Oryctolagus cuniculus: one gene and its partner. The protein of the gene in region 2 purifies or fractionates together with the protein of the main gene of each other region. This does not show direct contact. Links are inferred from orthologs where the notes say so. Each region holds a gene or a part of one and is shown on either strand. Other genes may lie near its edges.

The links.
Region 1: the proteins of TNIK (region 2) and NCK1 purify together in Homo sapiens (affinity purification with mass spectrometry; 3 studies listed by BioGRID and IntAct, with this or other methods). This does not show direct contact. The link is inferred for Oryctolagus cuniculus from reciprocal best matches to the Homo sapiens genes TNIK and NCK1.

Annotation. Positions count from the first base shown.
Region 1 is NC_091435.1:144,688,929-144,693,513, forward strand, and holds the start of NCK1 (SH2/SH3 adapter protein NCK1), read right to left. Parts: upstream 2,936-4,585; 5' UTR 2,706-2,935; coding exon 2,453-2,705; intron 1-2,452. UniProt on the Homo sapiens protein: Adapter protein which associates with tyrosine-phosphorylated growth factor receptors, such as KDR and PDGFRB, or their cellular substrates. Maintains low levels of EIF2S1 phosphorylation by promoting its dephosphorylation by PP1.
Region 2 is NC_091435.1:108,838,337-108,842,687, reverse strand, and holds the start of TNIK (TRAF2 and NCK-interacting protein kinase), read right to left. Parts: upstream 2,819-4,351; 5' UTR 2,416-2,818; coding exon 2,359-2,415; intron 1-2,358. UniProt on the Homo sapiens protein: Serine/threonine kinase that acts as an essential activator of the Wnt signaling pathway. Recruited to promoters of Wnt target genes and required to activate their expression. May act by phosphorylating TCF4/TCF7L2.

The DNA of each region.
Region 1 (4,585 bases), about 36 Mb from region 2:
AGTTGGATCTGACTGTGGAGTTAAGAGAGAAATTCTCAGATCTAAGCACTGAGGAAGTATACAACTCTGAGGCAGACATTAGCTTTGTTCCAGAAGAGTTAGTACAACTTTCAATCTTCTCATCTCCACTGGTTTTACACTTCTCTTCCTACAGCACTACATTTTAAGCAAAATAATGCATTATTAAACTTCTCAAAAGTTTAAGAACATGATCAAGCATTCTGAACATTCTGTCTTTGTGTGATATCTGTCCTCTTCCTGACACAATCTCAGTACCCATAACTATTCTTTATGCAACTTGGCTTGCAAATCCTTGATATACTGGATGTCCGTGTTTGGAAGCATTTGAGTGTCTCAATATCATCATTAAAGGGTATCTATCCAAAGTGAATAACTACATCATAGTTTATCTGGCCCCAGCACATACAAAAGGGAGCTTACTGCATCCCTTCACTTGAGCATCCCACAAACTTGAACCAATGCCACCATGGACTGTGCGAGACTTCCCCACCTACATTACCCAGCAGCTCTTCCTCAGTCTTTCACTCATATCAACTGTTGCCAAGATAAGTTCTCAGCATTTTTTTCAACTTCTTTAAAAACTTCATGCAACATTTTATATTACTGCCAGTTCCTATACATCTTATTTATATCTTGATTTTAAATTTTCAAATATTCTGTGAATCTAATGTATGTTAAATTTTCCAGTATTAGTCTTCCCTACTTTTTAGGCATGTCATTTCCCCTTCATCTGAATGACTGAATAATAGAAAGCAGAATGAGCACCAAGAAAGTATTACTACTTCTTCTAATTGCTTATTGAACAATACTTCTGCTCTTATGTGCTTCCTCAAAACCAATTTCTCCCTAACAGATTCCCCCAACTCTTAGGACATACACATGACCATCTATTTTCACCAGGACCATAAAACTTTTAGAGTTAGAAGGGACTTTCCAGGATCGTCTAGTCTTACTCAACTCTCAGAAAATCAGGAAGCTTTAATTATATACCCTAGGTCATAACGCTGGTTAATAGTATATCAGAAAACAGAACTAAGGAATTCTAAAACCAAATATATGGTATTCTTTCCATCATGGGTTATTTGAATTTTTGTATTTTCACCTGTTTATTTCATCCACACATATTATTTTTTTATTATTTTATCTAAAACATTGAGCAATTTTGTTTTCAAGGGTATTCTGGCTATTACACAAGATGCACCATATCCTTTTTTTCTCTATTTTTTTAAGTCCATTTGAGGAGTAGATTGATAAATAGCCTAGCCTTGTCTCTCCTGATGAGCTACCTGGCAAGAGATGTATAAACTTCAATGTGTTGCAAGAACTCAAGAAAGGAATGATATGGCTACAAATCTCAAATCCTGAACCTCAGTATAAAAATGTACTTAAGGTTAACTACCAATTCCATAAGATCAGTAGAGAAAATGTTAATTTTATCATTGCATTGTTAAGATGAAATATATTGAATCTCTGTATTGGTGATACAACATTCTTTTCACCCTCTTTTTTTATTACTCTGATCTTCGCTTATAGTAGGCACTCAATGAAAAATGGCTCATCAGCAAATGAATAAATAAACCAATAAATCTCTAAAAGGAAAGATCATTCAAAAAATGGAAATGCAAAGATCTGACTTAATAACACTTCAAAAAGTAAACTGAAGTTAAGAGACATATTCCAGAGGGACTCACTTAGACACCACAGCTAACTAACTAAATAAATCTTCACATTGTAGTCACTTTTTGTTTGTTTTTTAGAGAAAGTGGTTACTCTTTTTTTGTTTTGTGCTTTTCTCTGTAATCTCTCACCAGGTAACTCTTGCTTCTCAGGCTCTTCGTACATAAAAATCTTGCACAATAATTCCTCTGCTCATTTTTCTAGAAACACCAATACTCAAGATCAAATCAAACTCATTATCATAAGATCATAAAAAGTCATCAATAGACATATGGATTACACTCTTTTAATATTAAATTCTTCAGTATTTTACTAGCACTTTCCATTAAATATCATTCTTTATACTGTTACTGTAAGTGAAAAGTAGTAAAGCAATATCATGTTAACTCAGAAGTCAAATATGGAGTTTGCTCACCTAATTATTTTTAATTGTTTACCATTGATTTCACGTCAATGTTTGTGCTAAGCTGAAAATTATTGAACTAGAACTGTATGAAACCCAAGCATTTTTATCCTTTCCTTATATGTTATTTAAATATCATACTCAAATATTTAAAAATTATCTTACGCAGTTAAACTAATGTTATTTGATACATGATCAATAATTTAGCTTGTATGAAACAACACAAAAGTACCAGCTTATAAAAACCGAACAAGTTCTCTCTACGGTTTCCCTTTAAATTCACAAAAAGGAAAAATCTAATCCAAAAACTGTAACAAGAAAACTACAGATTTAATAAACAGATTAACTTACTGAAAAAATCTTTAAAGACGTTTAACCATTCCATTTTGAATACAAATTCTGTGTTCTCTTTTGTAAGCTTGTTAACACAGCTCAGGATAATTCTCAGGGAGCTTCCTGGTCTGTTCTGCAACACTGAAACTTCCCACACCCAATCCATGTGACCTGGCCCACACCCAAGCAACAGAAAGCTTTTCTGAAGCTTCTCTTTCCAAAACTTTTTTCCCCATAAACTATAACAGAATCTGTAAAATAAGTAAATCATAATGGTCAAAAAAGTAACCTATTCTTCACACTTACTTTAGAAGGAGTTTTAAAGCCTATACATTTTCTAACACTTAAAAATATACTATTGCATTCATTTTTCCTTTTCCTAAACTTTCAAACAATGTCTCCACCAGCACAATCACTGTGAAACAAACCCATTAAATAAGACATTTGAGTTACCAAAAAGAGACACAGAAATGCTAAAGAAAAGAAGGTTATCCAATGCATAAGTTGGATTTACATCATTATACTATGTAACTATATACTACCAATATTTCCAAGCACCCAGAAATAAAGGTAGTAATAACCATCATATTGTAATAAAGTTAACAGCGATTTCTTAAATCTTACAGAATTATAAACCTTGCTAAAACTGTCTCAATAATATCAGAAAATATGGAAAATTTCCTAGTAATATTAATAAAAATTAATTCTAATTAACTTTCAGATTTATATACAATAACTAAAACTGGCATATTTGTCCTGTTTGCTCTAAGATAATAGTTTTTCACTATCTTTTGTAACTACTATCACATCTCTCTAATTCCAGACACCAGGATCCTATTAAAAACAAACAGGGGCAGTGGTTTGGAATAGCAGTTATTTGCGACACCAGCATCCCTTATCAGAGTACCTGGGTTTGAGTCTCAGCTCTGCTTCTGTATACTCTAGGAGGCAGCAAGTAATGGGTAAAGGACCCTGCCACCCACATGGGAAACCCAGAACGAGTTCCTGGCTCCCAGCTTCAGCAGGGTTCTGTTCACAATGAGGAGTGAAGTGTAAGCAGTGAACCAGCTAATTGGTGATCTCTTTCTCTTGTGTCTTTTTCTCTGCCTTGCAAATAAATTTTTAAAAACAAACTAAAAAGGAACAAAAACTCTATATAGATATGTCTAGTATTCTCTGTGCATTCATCACTATGAGTTATACTTTCTTGAAAGAAGTTACCTTGCTCTCCTTCAATACTTTTCATCAACATGCTTTCAATAAATGTTCAGTATTTACAAAACCAGAAGTATTCTTGGTTCTAACACTGGTCTCTTCAACTATGTAAAGAAAATCACATTCTGATTTGCCTTCCATTTAAAAACTAATGGTCCTGGCTGGTGCCGCGGCTCAACAGGCTAATCATCCACCTGCAACGCCAGCACTCCGGGTTCTAGTCTCGGTCGGGGCGCCAGATTCTGTCCTGGTTGCCCCTCTTCCAGGCCAGCTCTCTGCTGTGGCCTGGGAGTGTAGTGGAGGATGGCCCAAGTACTTGGGCCCTGCACCCCATGGGAGACCAGGAGAAGCACCTGGCTTCTGCCTTGGGATGAGCCCGGTGCGCCGGCCGCAGCGGCCATTGTTGGGTGAACCCACAGAAAAGGAAGACCTTTCTCTTTCTCTCTCTCTCACTGTCCACTCTGCCTGTCAAAAAAAAAAAAAAAAAAAAAAAAGGAAGAAAACAAAAAAAAAAACTAATGGTCCTGTTTGCAAAAAAATTAGAATCTAAAAAAACATTATCCCAACAGTTAAACGGCACAGCAACAACTACCAATTTATCTTTAAAACAATGTAAATGCTTTAGCTCAGAAACTAATATTCTAATACTTTATTTACTACTGGGAAGTACACTATATTTTAGTTTTTGATGTTTTCTGATAGTTAAAAACAGTACTTGTCTTTTATTGCTGATAAATTTCTAGAGTAACAATAATATCAACAACAAGCACATCAATTATATTTCATACTTGTCAATAATGCTACATTTTTCCCAAACTATCACTGTAAGGAGAAATTTTACTTTCCTTCTACATTAAGACAAAGAATCATTAATCAACAGCATGTTTGCCTGAATACCAAAAATGAAATTCTGTCCCTCCCAATTCCTTCCTGTCA
Region 2 (4,351 bases):
CAGAGGAGCAAGTGAGACTTCTGTCCATGAGCCCACCTCTCTCAATTTGGGAAGGCAGAGCTGATCTGCACTCTGATTTGTGGCGATGACCTCTGCAGCCTCTGGACCCAGTCTGGCCCGCACCCCTCAGCCACCCCAAGGCTGGCCAAAGACCCCCATCCTCTGGGGATGCAGCTGTCTCCACCTGTGCATTCACTTCCTGTGGCCAGCAGCTCCCCAGTCACTAGCCGGAGCTGCTCCCCTCCCTCTTTCCATACCTCCGGCAGGCAGAAAAACAGAAGCAGAGAGCACTAAGCTGGCTGTCCAGGCCACAAAGAGCAATTTCAGTAAATCATGCAAAATTCTCCTTTTCGAAGCCAAATTGCACCTGCACGGGTCTCCCCAGAGTATGAGGGGCCCTGCGAATCAGCCCCCGGGGGGAGCCCTCATAGTGGCTCCCACGCCCGCAGGCTCCGAGCTGGAGGGCTCAGGATCTCAGAAAACCTTCACTAGGAAACAAATCCGAACCCAACTTCAAATCCCAGCAGAGCATTTTCCATTAGGAGAGCAATGTCAAGATTTGGGCTCCCCAGCCTGGCCCATTGTTCAGATGCCTTTCTCCTTTGCGGCGGGCCCCTCCCAGGGTCTCCTCATTCATCCACCTGATTAACTCGCTGGCAGCAACTCCCAGTGCAGAAAGTAGGGCAAAGGAACAGAACACACAGTCCGCAAAGCAGGAAGCCACAGCCCGGGTCCAAGCACCCACCCGGTTCCCGGTCCCCACCCCCACAGCCCAAGGGGCAGAAAGCCCTGCCTGTGGCTTCTCAGCTCCAGAGAGGCAGCTGAGTGCACTAATGCATGCCCGAGCTGTGGCTGCCTAACTACCGCTACAGCCTGTTTCCAAGAGCATCCCCCTGAAACCTCACCTCAGGGACTCGGGGGACAGGAGGGGGGAGGGGAAGAGGTAGGGAAAGGGAGGGACAAGGAGACCAAAGTGCCACTTTGATCACAGAGGGAACTCAAAAATACCCGTGTTGGAAGAGGCCATGTCCGACGTACTAGGGATTCAGGTACCTGGCCGGAGATGTAGCATCCACCTAACAATGTGTTCCTCAGGAGGGCGTGTGAACTTGCACGCCTGACCCTATCTGGCCACGCAAGTACGTGCACTTGCTATTCTTCTCCAATTGTATTTTTGGTTCGCAAGACGAACAAACGGACCTTAAATGGGCGTCCAATCCTTCTCAGGCCCCCTCGATTGCCAGCAGCTTCCCACCCACCCCTCACCCCTCCCTGGCCCGCAGCATCTAATTAAAATGGCAAGAAGAAAGCTCTGCTCCCCTCCCCTCCCCCCCAGGAGTATGCTGAGATTGGGGGTTGGGGAGGGGGAGGCGTCGAGGCTGCCCTGGAACTGTGGTCTCCAAACAACAGCAAAATGGATTCTATATCGCCGATATCTCAGTCGACAGCATGCCACGGCGTCTGAGGTAATGCACGCGGAGGTTCAACGCCAAGCCGCGGGCTGCGGGAGGGAGGTGCTCCACAAAGGACCGGCCGCAGACGCGGGGAAAACACACACACTCCAGGGAGTTCCGGTCCGACTGCGAACAGCGGCAAACCCATCCCTTTCACCTGCCCAAGTTCAGCCATAAAGCTGACATGCCACAGCCACAAAGTCGGAAAGCACAGGCAGGGCTGGGTTAAAGCCATAAATAAAGGTGAGTGGCAGGCTGGCGTGGAAGGAGGCGCGGAGCCGGAGCCCGGGCGCGCCAGGCGGGGGCGGGGGGAAGGGGCGGCCGCTGCCATCTATGAGACCCGCATAGCAATAACTGCCCCCGTGGAGCAGCAGGCTCGGCCTCGCCGGGCCGGCCAGGCTCACGGTGTCATCTCGCAGGTAGCTGGCGAACGTGAGGGGCCAGCGCCTGTATGCGCGCTGCTCTAGTTTCTGCAGCAAGGGACAGTCGGGTCCCGCGCCCTGGCACGAGACGACCGCCCGGAGCGTGCACACACGCGCGCGCGCGCTCACACACGCACACACGCGCGCACACACACACACACAGAGGCTCGCGTTCTAATGCTCTTACACTGCTCTAAGATGAAACTGCCATAAGCTCCACAAGCAGTTTCGGGGGATCGTCGGCCACAGCCAACGGGGGGGACACGTTCCGCACAACCCTTGCCATAGAGGCTCAGCCCGGAGCGCCTCGGCAACCCCGAATCCAAGCGCGAATCCGGGGTCGGTCCCCGTCGCATTCTCCCGCAGCTGCCCGTCAGCCCCCAGACCACACACCGACCCCATTCTCCCCCACCCACCCACCCCAACCCCGCCCCCCGGACCCAAACCCCTGGGAAGAAATGCGAAAAACGCGTTCTGCTCACCCTCAGAGCCGAGAGATCGATTTCATCCAGGCTGCGAGCCGGGGAGTCGCTCGCCATGTCTACTTCTTCGCCCGAGAAATGGACCAAAGCCACCCCAAAGCTTCTCCCTTGGAAATTCCACCTTGGTCTGTTTCACTCGCGTCCTCCTGCGGGTGTCGAGCCAGAGGCCCCGGGCCCAGCCTCCCCCGCCCACCCCGGCCCCTCAGCGCCCGATCTCAAGCCTCCGTGCGCCGGTCCGCCGGGTCCGGGAGCCCAACCTGCGCGGATCTCCAAGCCCGGAGCCGCGGTGCGTGTGGGCTGCGCGCCCCGATCGGCTAAGGGCGCTGGAGCTGCGTGGGTGTATTTAAATGGGACATGCTTCTTTGCTTGTGCGTGGATGGCGGCTGCATTGGCTGTTATAATGAGACACATCAACTCCTCCACTCAGCTGGGGGGTGGGGGTGGAGAACCACACAGAACTGTCTATCACCGCTTCCTGGGAGGAGTAAAGGGGGGAGGCGGAGGAGGCGTGGTCTCCGACTGGGGAGAGGCCGCGCTTCCTGACCCGGTCCCTCGACACCAGCGTGGATGGGGGAGGGGCGCGCACCCTCCCGCCCAGGCTCCTGCGGGCTAATCGGGGCGGATCGGCGGGGCAGTCCCTGACCCTTGCCGGGCTTATCGCGGGGGCTCAAGCTCTTTTTTTGTGTGTCCAACTCGGGCATTGCAGCAAAATGGCTCTTTCCTCGCCTCTTGGGTTTTCTCGGTGGGATTCAAATGCTCTAGAGCTGGGGGGGCGCAGAAAGGGGAAAAGAAAAAGACAGCGACGCCCTCCCTCCCCCATTAATTATTTGTGGGGCTCGAGTAAGGCGGGCTGGTGCAACCGGTGCATATAAGGACTTGTGTGCAGGGAAGGGGATCCGCCTCCAGGCGTGGAACGAGCCCGGGAGAAGCGCGCACGCACGGCGCGTCCGGCCTGGCGCTTCTGTAATCTGCAGCGGCCCGGGGGTCGGGTCCACCCGCAGTAACCGATATGCCGGACTGCGCCGGTCCCAAGTTGCCGGTCCCTCTGCGGGAAAGCTAGGGAATCAGAGCTCCCTTTCGGATCGCCACACCCAGGACCAGCTCGTGCCGCAGTTCCCCACGAATCGGAACGTAGAAGCTCGTTCTCCGGGCGCAATAGCTTCCAAGCCATCAGGTAACTCCAAAGCCAATGCTGCTTAAGCCAAGCTCGCCGCCCGCGGCCACGGCGTTTCTCTTCCCGGCCGCGTTTCCGCGGGGATCCACCCCAGTGGATGGCGAAAGTTTGACCCGCGGATGAGATGCCAGATGGGCTGGCGAGCGCGCGTTCACCGCACCCACTTTCTCGTTCAGAGGTGGGATGTTTACGGTGGCGAACGTGACATTCTGTCATCGGGAGTGCCAAATCGCCTCCCTCGCCGCGCAGCCTTCCTCTCCGGCCCGAGCCACGGGAAATGCATCGCAAGAAATCGTTGAAAACTGACTTGCTTTCCCCCGCCCCCTTTAAGTACAGCAGAGGCGTCGCGAGCGTTCCTAGCCCCTCTGTTAAGGCAGGAATTCGCTTCTGGCCAAGTGCGCTGAGCCATTCTAAGTCATGTAGTGTGAATATGAGCCTCAGAATAAGGCGAATGAATGAATGAATGAATGAAAGCAAACCAGTGCAGCTAGTGCATCTCGCCTGCCTGCATGCATCAGAGGACTTTGAAACAACAGTCGGTGTACGCTTCACTGTGTGTGTTCATAATACTGTGCTGATGAAGTGCCTTGTGGATCATACACCCTGAAACCTGCAAATGGACTCAATATCGCAACGGTTTGGGTGCTTTGGCTTTTTAACGTTATACGTCAAACGTTTAAACCTGCTATATGACAAACATTTTACTTCTCATTTCCAATAAAATCTTCTAGTTCCATGCACTAAACGACAGTGCGCTAAGCCACCAACTGATGTCAAGATGACATAAAAATACTGTCATTGCCCATCATCACCCTTGTT